Schizosaccharomyces pombe: one gene and its partner. The gene in region 1 interacts genetically with each later gene. Each region holds a gene or a part of one and is shown on either strand. Other genes may lie near its edges.

The links.
Region 2: mutations in bzz1 (region 1) and hop1 together harm fitness more than expected from each alone (negative genetic interaction), as found in Schizosaccharomyces pombe (2 studies listed by BioGRID).

The regions. Positions count from the first base shown.
Region 1 is NC_003423.3:2,462,194-2,471,424, reverse strand, and holds bzz1 (diacylglycerol-binding protein Bzz1), read right to left. Parts: upstream 5,398-9,231; 5' UTR 5,253-5,397; coding exon 5,214-5,252; exon of another isoform or gene 5,170-5,213; coding exon 5,143-5,169; exon of another isoform or gene 5,089-5,142; coding exon 5,025-5,088; exon of another isoform or gene 4,974-5,024; coding exon 4,853-4,973; exon of another isoform or gene 4,775-4,852; coding exon 3,738-4,774; exon of another isoform or gene 3,692-3,737; coding exon 3,335-3,691; intron 3,292-3,334; coding exon 3,027-3,291; intron 2,959-3,026; coding exon 2,940-2,958; 3' UTR 2,686-2,939; downstream 1-2,685. Other genes in the region: SPOM_SPBC12C2.04 (NAD-binding dehydrogenase family protein), read left to right, coding at 1,210-2,364; ATP-dependent RNA helicase Dbp5, read left to right, coding at 5,567-7,078; srm1 (spermidine synthase), read right to left, coding at 7,329-8,225. UniProt on the Schizosaccharomyces pombe protein: Plays a role in endocytosis and trafficking to the vacuole. Functions with type I myosins to restore polarity of the actin cytoskeleton after NaCl stress.
Region 2 is NC_003423.3:3,470,380-3,476,685, forward strand, and holds hop1 (synaptonemal complex-associated protein hop1), read left to right. Parts: upstream 1-1,939; coding exon 1,940-2,034; exon of another isoform or gene 2,035-2,082; coding exon 2,083-2,230; exon of another isoform or gene 2,231-2,274; coding exon 2,275-2,443; exon of another isoform or gene 2,444-2,481; coding exon 2,482-2,722; exon of another isoform or gene 2,723-2,762; coding exon 2,763-3,153; exon of another isoform or gene 3,154-3,200; coding exon 3,201-3,426; exon of another isoform or gene 3,427-3,473; coding exon 3,474-3,790; downstream 3,791-6,306. Other genes in the region: cullin 1 adaptor protein Pop1, read left to right, coding at 1-1,291; DNA-directed RNA polymerase I complex subunit Ker1, read left to right, coding at 4,350-4,793; sct1 (glycerol-3-phosphate O-acyltransferase), read left to right, coding at 5,537-5,582, 5,635-6,306. UniProt on the Schizosaccharomyces pombe protein: Facilitates initiation of meiotic recombination and DNA double-strand break (DSB) formation at DSB hotspot sites by enhancing the interaction between rec10 and rec15.

The sequences.
Region 1 (9,231 bases):
CAATCTACTACGTGTCGTGATGATTGATTGATCTTCCTCCATGAAGCAAATGGAGCTCCTCTAGCTTCTTCTTTCCTAGGTGTCTTTTGAATCCACGGAGTCCGAGTCATCTTTGCAGTGTACTACGCTATACTTCACTTTGCCATTACTTATGAAATTACATATTGGGGGTGGGTAATCAAGACACCAGACACTCCCTAGCGGTGGCGTTCCTTAACAGGTTTAAAAATAAAACTCGTTCTGGTTTCCCCATTCTCATTATTTAAATTTAGCATGATATTTTGTAACAAACACACTATTTTAAAAAACTGCACGGATACACTATTCTAAAAATTACACATCGTTACAATCTTTACGGTATTTTTCATTCCATTGCATTAGTGTTACATTACGGTAGTATATCTTATTTAACTTTATGTATTATCCTTAGACATTACCGAACTTCGCTACTTTGCCTTATTCGTTCTCTTCGATTCTTCTTTCTATTCATTGCCTCAATATTACATAAATTGAACGTAAGTAGGGTCCAAATTTTCCAAATGGCTATTGCTAGCGAAATCAGCACGTTGAAAAAATTTTCTCCTTTTTATGTTTTTACTCTCTCTACGCTGTAATTATCTAGGTTAACTTATCCTTGCAAAATACACTTCCTTGTTTTGCCGGATCTGTAAAGATCGTTGCTTAAATTTTGTAAAGTGAAATCTTAAATGGCATGTTAAAAATGGCTCGGTCGAGATGTCAAAATTTCGTTCTTTTGTCGCTCCTAGAACTACTAGTTTTACTTTTATATCCTTGAACTCTTTCATCTCCGTCCATCTTATACAGTACATAGCTAAAGTGAGAACGTTCCTTAATATTCGGTTTGTTGTATTTGTTTATTTACAACATGCAAGTTAATCCGAATACGTAATGGTTTGGAAGAGCTCCTTACGTTAGCGCTAAAAGAAAATATATAAGCGTAGGAAATATCATATTTTATAAACCTGTCTTTTACCCATACCATACGATAAGTTCAATTAGGAAAAAAAAAACAAAGAATCCTCAATTTGGAATTCTCATAGCTGTTTTCCTTTTTCCTTTTACTCATTCATTTTCTCGTATTCATTGTTGATCAACTCGGTCTTTTTGCACAACCATTCACATAGGTTGAGCCTGTTGTTTATCTTTGTTATTTTCTGAACTTGTTTTTATATTGCTTTGTTTGATTCAATGACTGCTCTATCAACCAACTCTTCTTCTGGTGGGATCTTCAAGATCGCTATTGTTGGCGCCGGTGGCATTAACTTTGGTACCCCCGAGGGACCTTGGAACAATGCCCAGAGAGTTGAAAAGGTGTTAGGAAAATCACTTCGAGTAACTGCTCTCATCAACCCCTTAATTAACGAAAGCGAGCGTGTTTTGAAGTCTAAATGTGCATCTGACGTTGCTTTCGCTTATGAAAACACCAAGACGTATGTCTCTGTAACTGAGTACTTGGAATACTTGGATTCCCATCCTGAGGATGTCCCTTCTGCTTATCTCATTGGCATTCCTCCTGATTTCCATGGCTGCACAACTCCGGGTATGGACATGGAGTTGGAAATTTTAAGAAAATACCCCAATGCTGCTCTATTTATCGAGAAGCCTATTACTAGTGCTCCTGTCCAAGGTGCTTTTAACCTCGTACATGAATTGGAGAAATACCATGCTATCATTTCAATTGGTTATATGTTCCGTTATTTAAAGATCGTTCAAGCCGCCAAGAAATACGTTGCCGATAATAACTTGAACATCGCTTGTACCATTGCAAGATATAACTCTGCTTACGAACATAATAACAAACTTTTCTGGTGGTACATGTCAAAGTCTGGTGGTCCCGTCGTTGAGCAAGCTACACATTTCTGTGATTTGTCCATCTATTTCGGTGGTGATGTCGATACTTCTACCGTCAAGGTAAACCGTGTAAACTGGTACGACCCTTGTGGAAAATTAGCTAAGGTTCCTGTTGACGAGGAGTCCATTCCCAAAGAGGAGCGCATCCCCCGTTTCACCGCTGCATCATGGAAATATAAGTCGGGTGCAGTTGGTATTCTCGCTCATAGTATCATTTTACAAGGAACGAATTATGACACTTGTCTAGAGCTTCAAGCAGATGGTCATTATGTTCGTATGGTTGACTTTTACGGTCAACCCAGACTTTACATTCGTTCTCCTGAGGCTGATAGCGAACGCATTATTAATTTCCCCGAAGATGATCCCTATTATAATGAATTTGATGCTTTCTTGGGTGTTGTCCAGGGCAGATATCCTCCTAGCCGCATTTTGTCCAAGTTTGACGACGGCGCTAAGACATACGAGTTGACGAAGATCATTACGAATAATTAAAGTATAGAAGAATTGAACACACAACTTTTTTTTCCTTATATTTTCACCATTTTGGCTTTTTTCTCTTTTTCGTTACCTTTCATGAAAGTTTTCCCTTCGTTATCGGGAATGTTTTTAGACTTAGTTCCAATATCACATGTCGTTTATATGTTTGTTTCAATTTGCAGATTACTTTTGAAAATGTACGATGACATATCACATCCTTCGATTCCTCTCTGTTGTAATGACAATGTGTTTGTATGTATTCGTTAAAAAATTGTTGATCAATTTTCTCGTAACGCGAAACTGTATTCTTCAGTAAACATAAATTTTGGTTACTAACGAAAAAAATATAGCATAGTTCAATTTAAAAAATTTTCCTTAGGCATAGCATTTAGTATAGTTATTATAAATATCTAAAATTCAAAAAAAAAAAGATCAATCTAGCAAAAAAATACTTTGGTGTATCGACCAACTACATTGTAGTGGATAAAAAATCGTAAGTTATTATTGACAATTTGCTTTTCGTAATACATAAAGAAGGTAAAATTTATCAACAATGAAGTAGATAATATTCATATAGATATTTCAATGGTTTATACATCTGTAACATAACTAAGACATATGTTAGTTTTTGTGCAAAGAAATGGAGAAATGAATAAAAAAAAAAAACAAAGACTTACTTAGCTGGGAATTGACCGGTCACTCCATTAAGTATCCCTTCAGACCATCCGTTTCCAGCGTTTCGATTTGTGACCTGAATTATATCACCCTCTTGGATTGATAATTCCATATCGGATTGAGCTGTGTATGCATATAACGCCTTAACATAAGAAGAATCTCCATCAAGTGTCACACTCGTATTTAATTCATCATTCAATTTAACATAAGAAGCTGGAATCAAGCCATCAGTTCCATCGATTTTTACTCGAACCCAACCAGAGCCATCTATATTGATCTATTAGAATGGGATTTTTCAAGCTTTACTTACCATCTGGTTCAAGTAGCGTAAATTCCTGTCCTTCAGAAGCTGTGATTACCCCTTCATGTTCCCCGGTAAAATCGTAAAGAACTACACCGTCAACCTTTGACGCTGGTTCAGCAGGCGTTGTTTCTTCTGTTTTCACGTTGCTTAAGGAAGTTTGATAAATACTACTTGAATCCATATCATCTGTGTATGTGTTACGATAGGATTCATAGGCATTTGAAGACGACGCAGAAGCATCAAAATCATCAGTGGCAGTAACACTGGTATCTACAGCATCATCGTCGGCCACTTCGGGCTCACCATTTTTGCAGTTGGCGGGAACAAGAAGTTCACACCTTGCATGGCATTTGAAGCCACAATCTACACGTGTTTTGTTAGTTAACGAAAGAAAGCAAATATTTCGTACTTTTGCAAACACATCCACGCTTCGATAACCCCCAAATAATTTCACGACAGTAACTGCAACTTGTCGGAAGTTTAAAACTAACATGTTTGAAATCATGAAAACGACCTCCTTCTTCTAAATTATTCGCAACTGACGTGATCTTGTTGATACGAACCTCTAAATCTTCTATTCTGGCCTTTACCATGAGCTCTTTCCCTTCTAGATTTATCGAAGCCTTTTTAGATTCAAATGACTGGTTAGCACTATTTGGATCATCGACGCGTAAACCTTCCAATTGTGAATCTAACGATACAAGCTCGCCTTTCTGTTTTCCAAGGTCATTTTTGGAGTGGACCAGTAAATTTCGGAGGTAGTTTTTACATGAACCATCCACCACCAGTGCATCCGTGTCATGCCAGATAGGACTAGGTTCAAAATGCAAGTCAGCAGGAAGTGCCCAATTCTTTGAATTGTGCCTTCCGAACATGGCAGAATCAAGGACTGGTTCATTTTTTGCAATTTCTGATTGAATTTCAACGGTTCTTTGGGATAAGGTATCATGGAGAGACTTTTCAATTGAAAAGCTGTTACACCATATTTCATTTAAATTCGAAACCCTGTATTCGTTCAATACTTGCATATGATTAAGGAGCGTTGGTAGAGTTTCATTATAAAACTTTTGCTTGTGGGCGTTGTATACAAGCATACGAAGTAGGTATTTATTTTTCTTATCGAGCATATCACTTTCAGATAATTTTAAATTTCTTTGAGTTTTTTGCTCTCGATATTTATCGTTTTTTTGCCTTGCGCTTTCTAAATCATCGCAGGCCTCATGGTAACTGACCTTGGCTCTCTTCACACTGTTTAACAATGTCTCCTTTTCGGATGAGAATTTTTTATATAAATCATCATAAACTTTTCTTAAAGCCTCTATATGAGACTCTAGTTTCTTCAGTTTTTCAGCAATGTCCAATGAATAGTCATCGGATAGCTTTTGATGAGTTTTTGATGAGCGCGTTAACTCATCCAAAATTTTAGACCATGTTGTTAAAGAAGCACTATAAAATTAGCCTGTGAACAGGAATTCAATATCCATCTAACTTCAATTGCTTGACAGGTTCCAATATTTTACATACCATTCTAAAGAGCCAGCAGACATTGCCGGAGTATCTCCGACTGAAAGGGCTGATGATTTTCTGGATTTCTTCTCCCCATATTTATTCGAAAGACTGGCTAATTTCTGAGCATATTCTTTTTCTAGCAACAAAGTTAGTCATTGAAATTTAACCATTGTCGTTTCTTATTTACCAATAGAACTTCTTTCTTTGTAGTACAATTGAATATCTTCAAGCCATTTCGCGCCATTATTAATCTTTGTTACAATGTGTTAATTGTTGAACTGTCTTCATTTTCATTCTTGGCATACCCAACTGTCGACAACTTTAAAATCGTCCTTTTATATATTAGTAAATATGCCAAATAACTAAAACACCTTACGTGAAGTTCATCACTAAATTTGTATGTTTCCAGGCTCATTATCCAGTATTATCTACACGTTTGATATCGCTGCAATAAAAATTTGTACCGGATATAAAACAATTAAAAAGAAAGTTTGACGGAAGAAATTGTGACAATTTTTGGCTTTACGTTACGAATGTTGATGAAAAGGAAGTACGGTGGTGAATCGAAACCTATATTGTTCAACTTTCACTTAAGGAGTAACTTAGCAATCACCAACTACATTGCCCACCAGAAATTGTCATCCAGTTTGCTAAGTCATCCTTGCTGAGTTTGGATATCTGAACTATAAATTTGATTTTTTTTATTTTTTTTACTAAAAAACATCCAAAATGTCAACTACACTGGGACAGGAAAGCAAAACTGACTGGGCTAGTTTGGACTCTGATGAAGAGGTTCAAAGAATTAGTGATAAAGTCAATCAGTTAAATACTTCAGAAAATAAAAATGAAGATCAAAAAGCAACAAATTTAAGTGACAGATTAGGTCCAAAAATCACTGAGAATGTTGATGCAAAATCTGAGCAAGACAAAGCGACCAACACGATTGCAGAGGACGCCAATACGAAGCAATCTGAAAATGATGAATCTAATTTAATACCAAATAAAAACGAGGTTCGTGTAAAATTAGCAGATCTACAGGCTGATCCAAACTCACCTCTTTTTTCTGTTAAAAGTTTTGAAGAGTTGGAGCTCAAGCCCGAATTATTAAAGGGAATTTATTCAATGAAATTCCAAAAACCCTCAAAAATTCAAGAGAAGGCGCTTCCACTTTTACTCTCAAATCCTCCTCGCAATATGATCGGACAATCACAATCCGGAACTGGTAAAACCGCTGCATTTGCATTAACGATGCTTTCTCGTGTTGATGCTTCTGTTCCCAAACCTCAAGCTATCTGCCTCGCTCCTTCTCGTGAATTGGCCCGTCAGATTATGGATGTCGTGACGGAGATGGGCAAATATACTGAAGTAAAAACAGCTTTTGGTATTAAAGACTCCGTCCCTAAAGGTGCAAAAATCGATGCTCAAATTGTAATCGGAACGCCTGGCACTGTGATGGATTTGATGAAGAGAAGACAGCTTGACGCTCGCGATATTAAAGTATTCGTGTTAGATGAGGCAGACAACATGTTAGATCAGCAAGGATTAGGAGATCAATCTATGCGTATCAAGCACCTTCTTCCTAGAAACACTCAGATTGTTCTTTTCAGTGCTACCTTTTCGGAACGCGTTGAAAAGTACGCTGAACGTTTTGCTCCCAATGCTAATGAAATTCGTCTGAAGACTGAGGAGCTTTCTGTTGAGGGAATCAAGCAGTTGTATATGGATTGCCAAAGTGAAGAACATAAATATAATGTTTTAGTGGAATTATATGGGTTATTGACTATTGGTCAATCAATTATATTTTGTAAGAAAAAGGATACCGCTGAAGAAATTGCTAGGCGTATGACTGCAGATGGACACACTGTTGCTTGTCTTACCGGTAATCTGGAAGGTGCACAACGTGACGCTATTATGGATTCATTCCGAGTAGGTACTTCAAAGGTTTTGGTTACTACGAATGTAATTGCTCGGGGTATCGACGTATCGCAAGTCAACTTGGTTGTAAACTATGATATGCCTTTAGATCAAGCAGGAAGACCCGATCCACAAACATATCTTCACCGTATAGGTCGTACCGGTAGGTTCGGCCGTGTTGGAGTAAGTATCAATTTTGTTCACGATAAAAAGAGTTGGGAAGAAATGAACGCCATTCAAGAATACTTCCAACGTCCCATCACGCGAGTGCCTACAGATGACTACGAAGAGCTTGAAAAAGTTGTCAAGAATGCACTTAAAATGTAAAGCATGTTGATTTTTAGAGATTATTTAATACATAGGTTTCTTGGTACCAATTACTAAAGGAATATTATTTACTTATGCTGGTATTTCACTGGTTTTTTTGCATATCAACTACCGAAAGAGAACGTAATCTCACTTACAAAAAGTAGAGAGCAGAAGTGTGAAAACAAAGAAAAAAGAGTATACATTTTGACTTAAGATTGCATTGATTAAGACGTATGAAACTTTAGCCAAAAAAAATAAAAATGTTTGCTTAAGAGGAGGTAGCCTTGTCAACGACATCACGAGCAAAGGTAGGAAGAACAAAGGAAGCAGCATGAATTTCACTGTTATAGTACTTACAAAGCTTATTCTCTTCTTCGGGAGACCACTTGCGAAGAGGCTTGCTAAGGTCGATGGAAGCATCCTTGGAGGCTACAACGAAGCCGATAGATCCAGAGGGATAGGTGGGGATAGTAGTGTATGCGTAACGAACATTGGGGAAAACTGTTTTAACGGCAGTCAAGACATTGCTGATGACACCCAAATGAATCCACATACACTCAGCTTGAGTAGTAATGACACCGCCTCCACGAAGAGCATCGGAAAGAAGTTGAAAGTAAGGTTTTTGGAACAAGGCTTCGGCAGGACCGTCAGGATCGGAAGAGTCTGTAATAATCACATCAAAAGTATTTTGATAATCTTGCAAAAATTTAAAACCGTCACCAATGTGTACCTTAACCTTGGGATGATTGAAACCTGCGGACATCTCAGGAAGGTATTGCTTGGAGACTTTAATGACATCTTCATCAATATCGCACAAGATAGCCTCTTCGACACATTCGTGTTTGACCACCTCACGAAGTACACCGCCATCACCACCACCAATAACGAGAACTTTCTTTGGGTTGGGGTGACTGTTTAGAGCAAGATGAGCAATCATTTCTTGGTAAGAAAACTCGTCGCGCTCAGTGGCTTGAATAGCACCATCCAAAACCAAAACATGTCCATAAGTTTCACTCTCAAAGACCAAAACATCTTGATACTTTGATTTTCCTGCATATAAAACCTTTTTAACCTTCAAGGTCATGGCTTGACCAGGCCACATGTTGTTGATCTCACGAAACCAACCATCTTTAATAAGAGGATGAGAAAGTTCTTGAACAGACATTTTCACTTCTAAATAACAATAAAGACACACAAAAGCAAGTAAGTAAGGTTGTAGTACCAAGCAAATACAAACGTTGCAAACTTTGCTTTTAGGAAAATTTTGTCATGTCGCATATTTAAGCGTGACCGTTTTAGCGCAGCGCTTGAGTTAAAAGTAGCATGTTAAGATACGTTACTTTTTTTAAAAAATGAGCTTAATTGATATACTTTCGGTTGTTGCTTACATTATTATCAGCGATGCTTGGCAATGAAAAGTAGACTTCTATTGTTGGGAGTGGATTTGGAACAACAATCATATTTGACGAAGCTAAAACTGATCGAGGAAACATTTGAATTAGTAAACAAATGTGTTTATACAATATTCCTTAGTTAATACGATGTCGTTTAATAAATCAAGAATTGATCAACGTAGAGGTTATATCAGCATTGTGCATCAGTATAGAGAAAAGTAGCAGGGTAAAAGAATAGTATGATAGATCTTTTGGTTAAGATTTGGAGACGAAATTATAACTACCATATGAGAATACAGGAAAGTGATATAGTATCGATGAATAATGTATAAGAAAAAAGCGCAACAATGACTTGAAGCGCTTATGCACAGTACGCATATAGTACACTTTCATAAGTTTGGCTCGTTAAAAATTAAAATCACGAGACTGGTGTGGTATAAATTGATGTAAATTCGACTTAAATCTCAAATGTATCTGGAGAAAAAGTGTTTGTATAATAACAATACGAATGATGGGAAAGTGTTTCTTCCAAAAGAAAAATAAAACATAAAGCGTTGAAGGATTTTGTCAAATTTTCAATCACTTCTCAATCCCACCAGTGCTGTTGTTGTTTTGCTATCCTATATCGAAAATTTTAATTTCAAGTTACATGATCAATTCACCTATTTACAAGCAGATTGTTGATCAATCTTAATGCCAAAAGTTAGCAATATTGTAGATCTTAAATTCATTACGATGATTTGTAAATGAATCGCTTTAGATAAACCATGTAAGACA
Region 2 (6,306 bases), 1.0 Mb from region 1:
TTTAAAAGATGGTTTCTTTTGGGATTCAATTGATAGTAAAATCCGTACGATGTGTTTAGAACAATCTTTGTCAGCCTGTGCGATAATGAAGCGGGTCTATTTTAGACATTTTAATCTTCGTGAAAGATGGCTCCATGCCCCGGAGAAAATTAAGCGATGTTCATTCCCAATTCATGGAGTTCGTCTTATTACCAAACTTCAGTTTGATGATGACAAAATAATTGTTAGCACCTGCAGTCCTAGAATTAATATATATGACACGAAAACAGGTGTCCTGATACGCAGTTTAGAAGAGCATGAAGGTGATGTTTGGACTTTTGAATACGTTGGGGATACTTTGGTTACTGGCTCCACAGACAGGACAGTAAGAGTCTGGGACCTTAGAACCGGTGAATGTAAACAGGTGTTTTATGGACACACGTCAACAATCCGTTGTATCAAAATAGTTCAAGGCAATCAAAGTACTACTGATACTGATGATGTGGAAAAAGAAAACAGACCAGCTTCAAATGATGCTAATTCAATGCCTCCGTATATAATTTCAAGTTCAAGGGATTGTACGATCCGTTTATGGAGTCTTCCATGCCTTGACGATCCACCATTTGTTAATGTAAATGAAAATCCTGATCAGAATAATGACTTTACTTCAGCTACGACCAATCCGTTTTACATCCGAACATTACGTGGTCATACGGACTCGGTACGTGAAGTTGCTTGTCTTGGAGATTTGATTGTCAGTGCCAGTTATGATGGTACTCTTAGAGTATGGAAGGCATCTACTGGCGTTTGTTTACATGTTCTTCGGGGACACGTCGGGAGAGTATACAGTGTCACAATTAATCCTTCTCGTCAACAATGTATCAGCGCTGGTACGGATGCTAAAATTCGTATTTGGAACCTTGAGTCTGGAGAACTTCTACAGACCCTTCATGGTCATTCGAATTTGGTAAGTCAAGTTACATTTAACCAAAATATCTTGGTATCCGCTTCTGCTCCTCCTGATACATCGTTGAGAGTTTGGGATCTAAACACCGGAAGTTGTCGAGATATTTTAAAATGTCCTTTGGGACACATATTTTTTCAACACGACGAGAGCAAAGTTGTCAGTGGAAGCCATAGTACGCTACAGTTATGGGACATTCGTTCCGGAAAGTTAGTAAGAGACCTATTGACTGATTTGGATATAATCTGGCAAGTTGCTTATAATGAAAATGTATGTGTGGCTGCTGTTTTAAGAAATAACCGTTTTTGGATCGAGGTCCTAGAGTTTGGATCTACTAAATCTTCTTGAGCTTTTATAAGTTGAGATACTAGAAATCTATAAAAGATCTCGAAATTTTATTTTACGTTTCCAAACTGAAATAGATTCATGCTATTTATTCTGGAAACTCCTCTATCATATAATATTTGTCTAATTGTTTGTTGACTTTTAAATGTTTACTCATAATTTTCTTTTTTAAATATCTAATAAGAATGCAAAATAATATTTTTTTAAATGATCTATTCTACATTTATAAATTATTTAGTGTTAAATTCGTTTGTTGAGGCCAAAATTTTTTTACCAAAGGGATAAGCGAATTTCTTGAATCCTTAGCTTCAAATAGCGTCCATTCTACCCAAAAGCGTACTATATTTTTATAATTAGCAAACTATAGTAAATAAAAAAACAAACATTTTAGCTTTGTAAATGTAAAAAGACATTTAATTTAACAAAAGGCTTTTACATTACTTCATAAGCTACCAAATGTCTTCATCGTAAAACATGCTTTTCGCATTCCATTTATCTATGTAAGCCATTTTAGTGTAGTTTAAAGTGTTGGAAAACCACAGGTGGGACTGTAATATACGTACACTTAAGACGCGTTCGACGCGTTCACAAAATTACCATATATAGATATCAACTTATCAAATACCCTTTACTTCTAAGTATAAATGACAAATGAATTCATACAAAGAGGAAATTCTGCAAACTAAGTCTGACTTTACTCTTAAAAATTTAATTTTCTTCGCGATATCAACATTATGCTATAAGCGGTACGCAGACATATAATTTTTAAATTAAAATAGCTAACAGAAGGCAAGTGCTCTTTTCAATGAAAACTGCTACAAGAAAGTCAATTTCGAAATTGAACATTTTAAAGGAGCTGACTTTGATTGTCAATTGAAACCTACTGTGGTTTCTTTACAAGCTGGAGTGGACAAAGAAGCAGACAGTTTTTTGGAAATGATGGTGAGTGTTTAAAACTTATCTAAAGAAATAAACTAATATTTTAGAAAACTTATATTTTCTCACTTGTATCAATGAAAGTTCCATTTACTGTTTACCTGATTATTTCGTCACAATGCAAGTCAATATTAGAGGATGACGCGGTTGAAAAGGAGATATTTTCATTTACAATTAACCCTGGAAGTGAAGAGAAAATATGTTGTGAGTCTTTTGTTTGTAAATTTTTTAACAGACTTCATGAGAGTTTTATCAAGCTTATCAACGTTCAGAAAGGTTTGTAATAAAGTTATTTTTAAGTGGTAACGTAAAAACAGAGTGCAAAGACGAAGAAAAAGTCGTACAAATTATTACAAAAATGGAACGCTTTCAATTATCAAAAGGAGAAGCAACTAAAGCTGGCGTGTTTTTAAATACCGTAGAAACAAAAGATTGCATGTCTTGGCTCAATCGAGGAGAATTCAAAGATATTGTATCTTTTTATGAATCAAACAATGGGTAAGTAAATTAAAACAAATTTCAAGTTACTAATCTATAGTATTGCGATTTCACATTGTTCTCATGCATTTGTACCGATAAGTACAGAGAAGATCATGATTAATAAAGAATCATCATTATTTGATTCTCAAGAAAAAATTGATTCTCAGCTCGAAAAGTTCCTCCAGCCTTTGAAATACGATGAAATAGGCTCAACTCAAATATTGGATGAACAATCAGTTGAAAAAAGTTTGAGTCAAGGAAAATGTGAGAAAATGCAGAATGAAAGTCGTGGATTAAGGGAAATAAAAAATAACAATCCTTGTGAAGAAGTAAAGAAAAGCAATTGGTTAAAAAAAAACATTTCAGGGAGTGACAAAGTTGACAAAGCCGAAAAGAAAAAAGCACTTTTGAATTGTGAATGCGGTGATTCGACGGAAGACTCAGAAATGGTGTGTAATCGTTTATACCTGCTAAAGACTAACAATATTTTACACAGTTTCAATGCGAAAGATGTGATGGATGGGTTCACTGTGCTTGCTATGGATTTGAGAGTGACTCTGATCCTCGCCAACCAAACCAATTGTTATGTTATACATGTTTGTTAGTTGATTCTGAATCTAGTTTGTATGACCGAATGACCATGTTGGTCGCATACAGACGAGCAATTCGGTGTATTTGGGCGTCAGAGTATCAAGGGTTCCAAAAGCTAGCGGCGCGACTGAGTAAGGAAATTTACCAACTCATTGACCATATACTAACATTATCTAAGATTGCAGCTATGCTGATGCCAAAAGAATTGAAGAAAGATTAGTTAACGAAAACATAATCTATAAGGAAAAAAAACGAAAATGGATATATTTTACGAATAAAAGCCCTGAAATGGTGTCATATCTTCGTGAGAAGTATTTTACACCGTCGCGATGGATATCTCATCTGAATTTTCAAAATTATCGTCAAGAGAATCAACGTGTAAATATGCGATCTTTTCTACGGCCCGAAAGAATGGAAGTAATAGAAAGACCAAAAAAGGTTTCTAAGACTTCAAACACTAAAGAGACAGACACCATGAAACCTCTGAGGATTTAAACTTATACGACTTATCCTATCTTCAAACAATTTGAGATGGATCAGTATTGCATCTATTTGCTCAAACTATTAATTTAAACTTACATAATATATTTATTATTAGCTATACTACATTATTACCATAAATAACATGTTCTGTTATCATCCGTTAGATATGAGACAATATTCATACAAACTCATTTTCTTGTCGTAGATAACTATGCTTACGACATTATAAATAGGCGGTAATTGAAATGAGGAATGAGGTTCAGTTATGAGCTTATACGAACATGAGATATGAATATAGACTTCATACAAGAATCATGCATACCACTATAAACTAGATCACAAGTAAATTTTATCGCAGTTCTACGCAGCGCTAAACGAATACGAAATTGCGTAGCTAATTTAAGCACTTCTTGAATTGCATTATGTGTGAATAGTGTGGTGATTTGATGTCAAAAAAAAAAAGTATAGAACGTTACACATTAGACTTGAACTTTTCCATTTGATACTGAAGTTACATTATTGCTGTGTTCGTGAGAACTTTGCATTATTCAGGAGAATTTTCGTTTTAAACATGGCGACAGAATGTCCACCTAAAATGATTTTGCGAAAGTCTGAAAAGCTAGACAAAGACGCGTCTAGTAAATTTCTCAATCGCTACATCCAAACGATTGAGCGCTTCCAAGATGAAAAATCTGGAAGTGAGAGTGTTCTATCCCAGTTAAATAGAGTCTTGATGTACCTGAAAGGAGAAGAGATACCGCTTATTTCTTTAAATTTACCTGTCCAAGGCCCTCCCACAGAGGAATTAATAATACCACCTGAAGAAATGTTGGAAACCAAGGAAGAGGAAAGTCTGAAACATGCAAGGGAAGAGAACGATGATTTGCATTTGGATAAAGAAACCAAAAAGCGTCTAAAAAAGGAAAAAAAGAAGGCTGCGAGACGGGAAAAGGAAGAGGCTCGTAAGGCCAAAGCGGATACGACTCAAGGTGTAGGGGAAAAAGAACAGAGTTAGAGTAAATTTAAAGGTGTGTTGATTATTTGTGGTTCAGTTATTTTGTTCGATTTCTAAAACATCATATGAGCTTTCGAATATAGTTTGCGCTTCATTAAAAAAATTGGGTTTTTTGGCTGCGATTATTTATTAAATCTTTTAAACGTGAGAGAAAAAATCCTAAGGTTTTTTTTGATCATGTGTTTGAGGACAACTACAATGCAACTTTTTTACTCGCAGTACTTGAGTTTGCATATTTTGTAAGTCCTTATCCATTCATTCTCAGTTGCAAGTATCAGATTATGCTTAAAGATTTTAAATTCATCATTAAATTCTTGTTTATCCCATAGTTTAATTGATTTTTTTTTTAATATAGGCTTTATTGTCGAAATTGTTGTCACAAATAATTGTTAAATAACAATTTAACAAAGATCATGGCGAGATCAATTACTAAACTCAATCTTTCAAATCAATACTCTGTGAATCCTAATATACTATTTCTTTCACATCACATCTTTAATGTTTCTACTAATACTGATTTATGTCGATTGATATTAACATGTATATCTTAGTGACTTATAACTATCTAATGAAACAACGCGTTGCCTTATACAACTTCAGCGTACTATATAGTGAGACCTACTTTTTTACGTAGACCTTATTAGAATTACCCAGGAGGCCCCTCCCAAACACTCACGATTATTTTACTAGTATCGTTTAATCTTACTTGAAACCCTGAAGACGGGTTCGTTCACTCAATTATAATGCAACATACCTTTATTTATGATACGTGCTTATGGATTTTATCAAGTAAGTTACTTATCATTTAGTTACAACCGGAACGCTAATTAATGAACCCCAGTTTTAATCGATTTCTTTTTCCGTGAAGTTAAAACGCGAGGCTCTTTTAGAGTTCCTCGCAAGGGACCTCTAATTTTAGTGGCCGCGCCGCATGCGAACCAATTCGTAGATCCTTTGATTTTGATGTTACAACTTCGTAGAGAAGTAGGTAGGAGGACTTCCATTTTGGTTGCTGCTAAAAGTTATCGTCAAAGATTTATTGGCCTCATGTCGAGAGCTTTTGGTGCAATTCCTGTCGAAAGGGCGCAAGATTTAGCTATTCGCGGAGAAGGAAAGATATTTGTCGTAGCTGAAGGTGATAAGACTGCTATTCACGGAAAAGATACTCTGTTTACAAAGCATTCAGTCGGTGATACTCTCCTTCTTCCTAATAATTATGGAAGTTCTCATATAGCATCCATTAAAAGTGATACCTTATTATATGTTAAACGTGAGTTTCGTGGAGAAGATGCTGAGAGAGTTTTGCTTTCTCCCGAAGGGTCGTCTTACAAGGTGGCTCCTGAGATTGATCAAACATATGTTTATAATGAAGTCCGTAGACGTCTGGTGAAGGGTGCATGCATTGCTCTATTCCCTGAAGGTGGATCTCACGATCGTCCTGAAATGCTACCGCTTAAAGCTGGCGTTGCAATTATGGCGTTGGAAACTCTTTCTCAGCATCCGGATTGTGGTC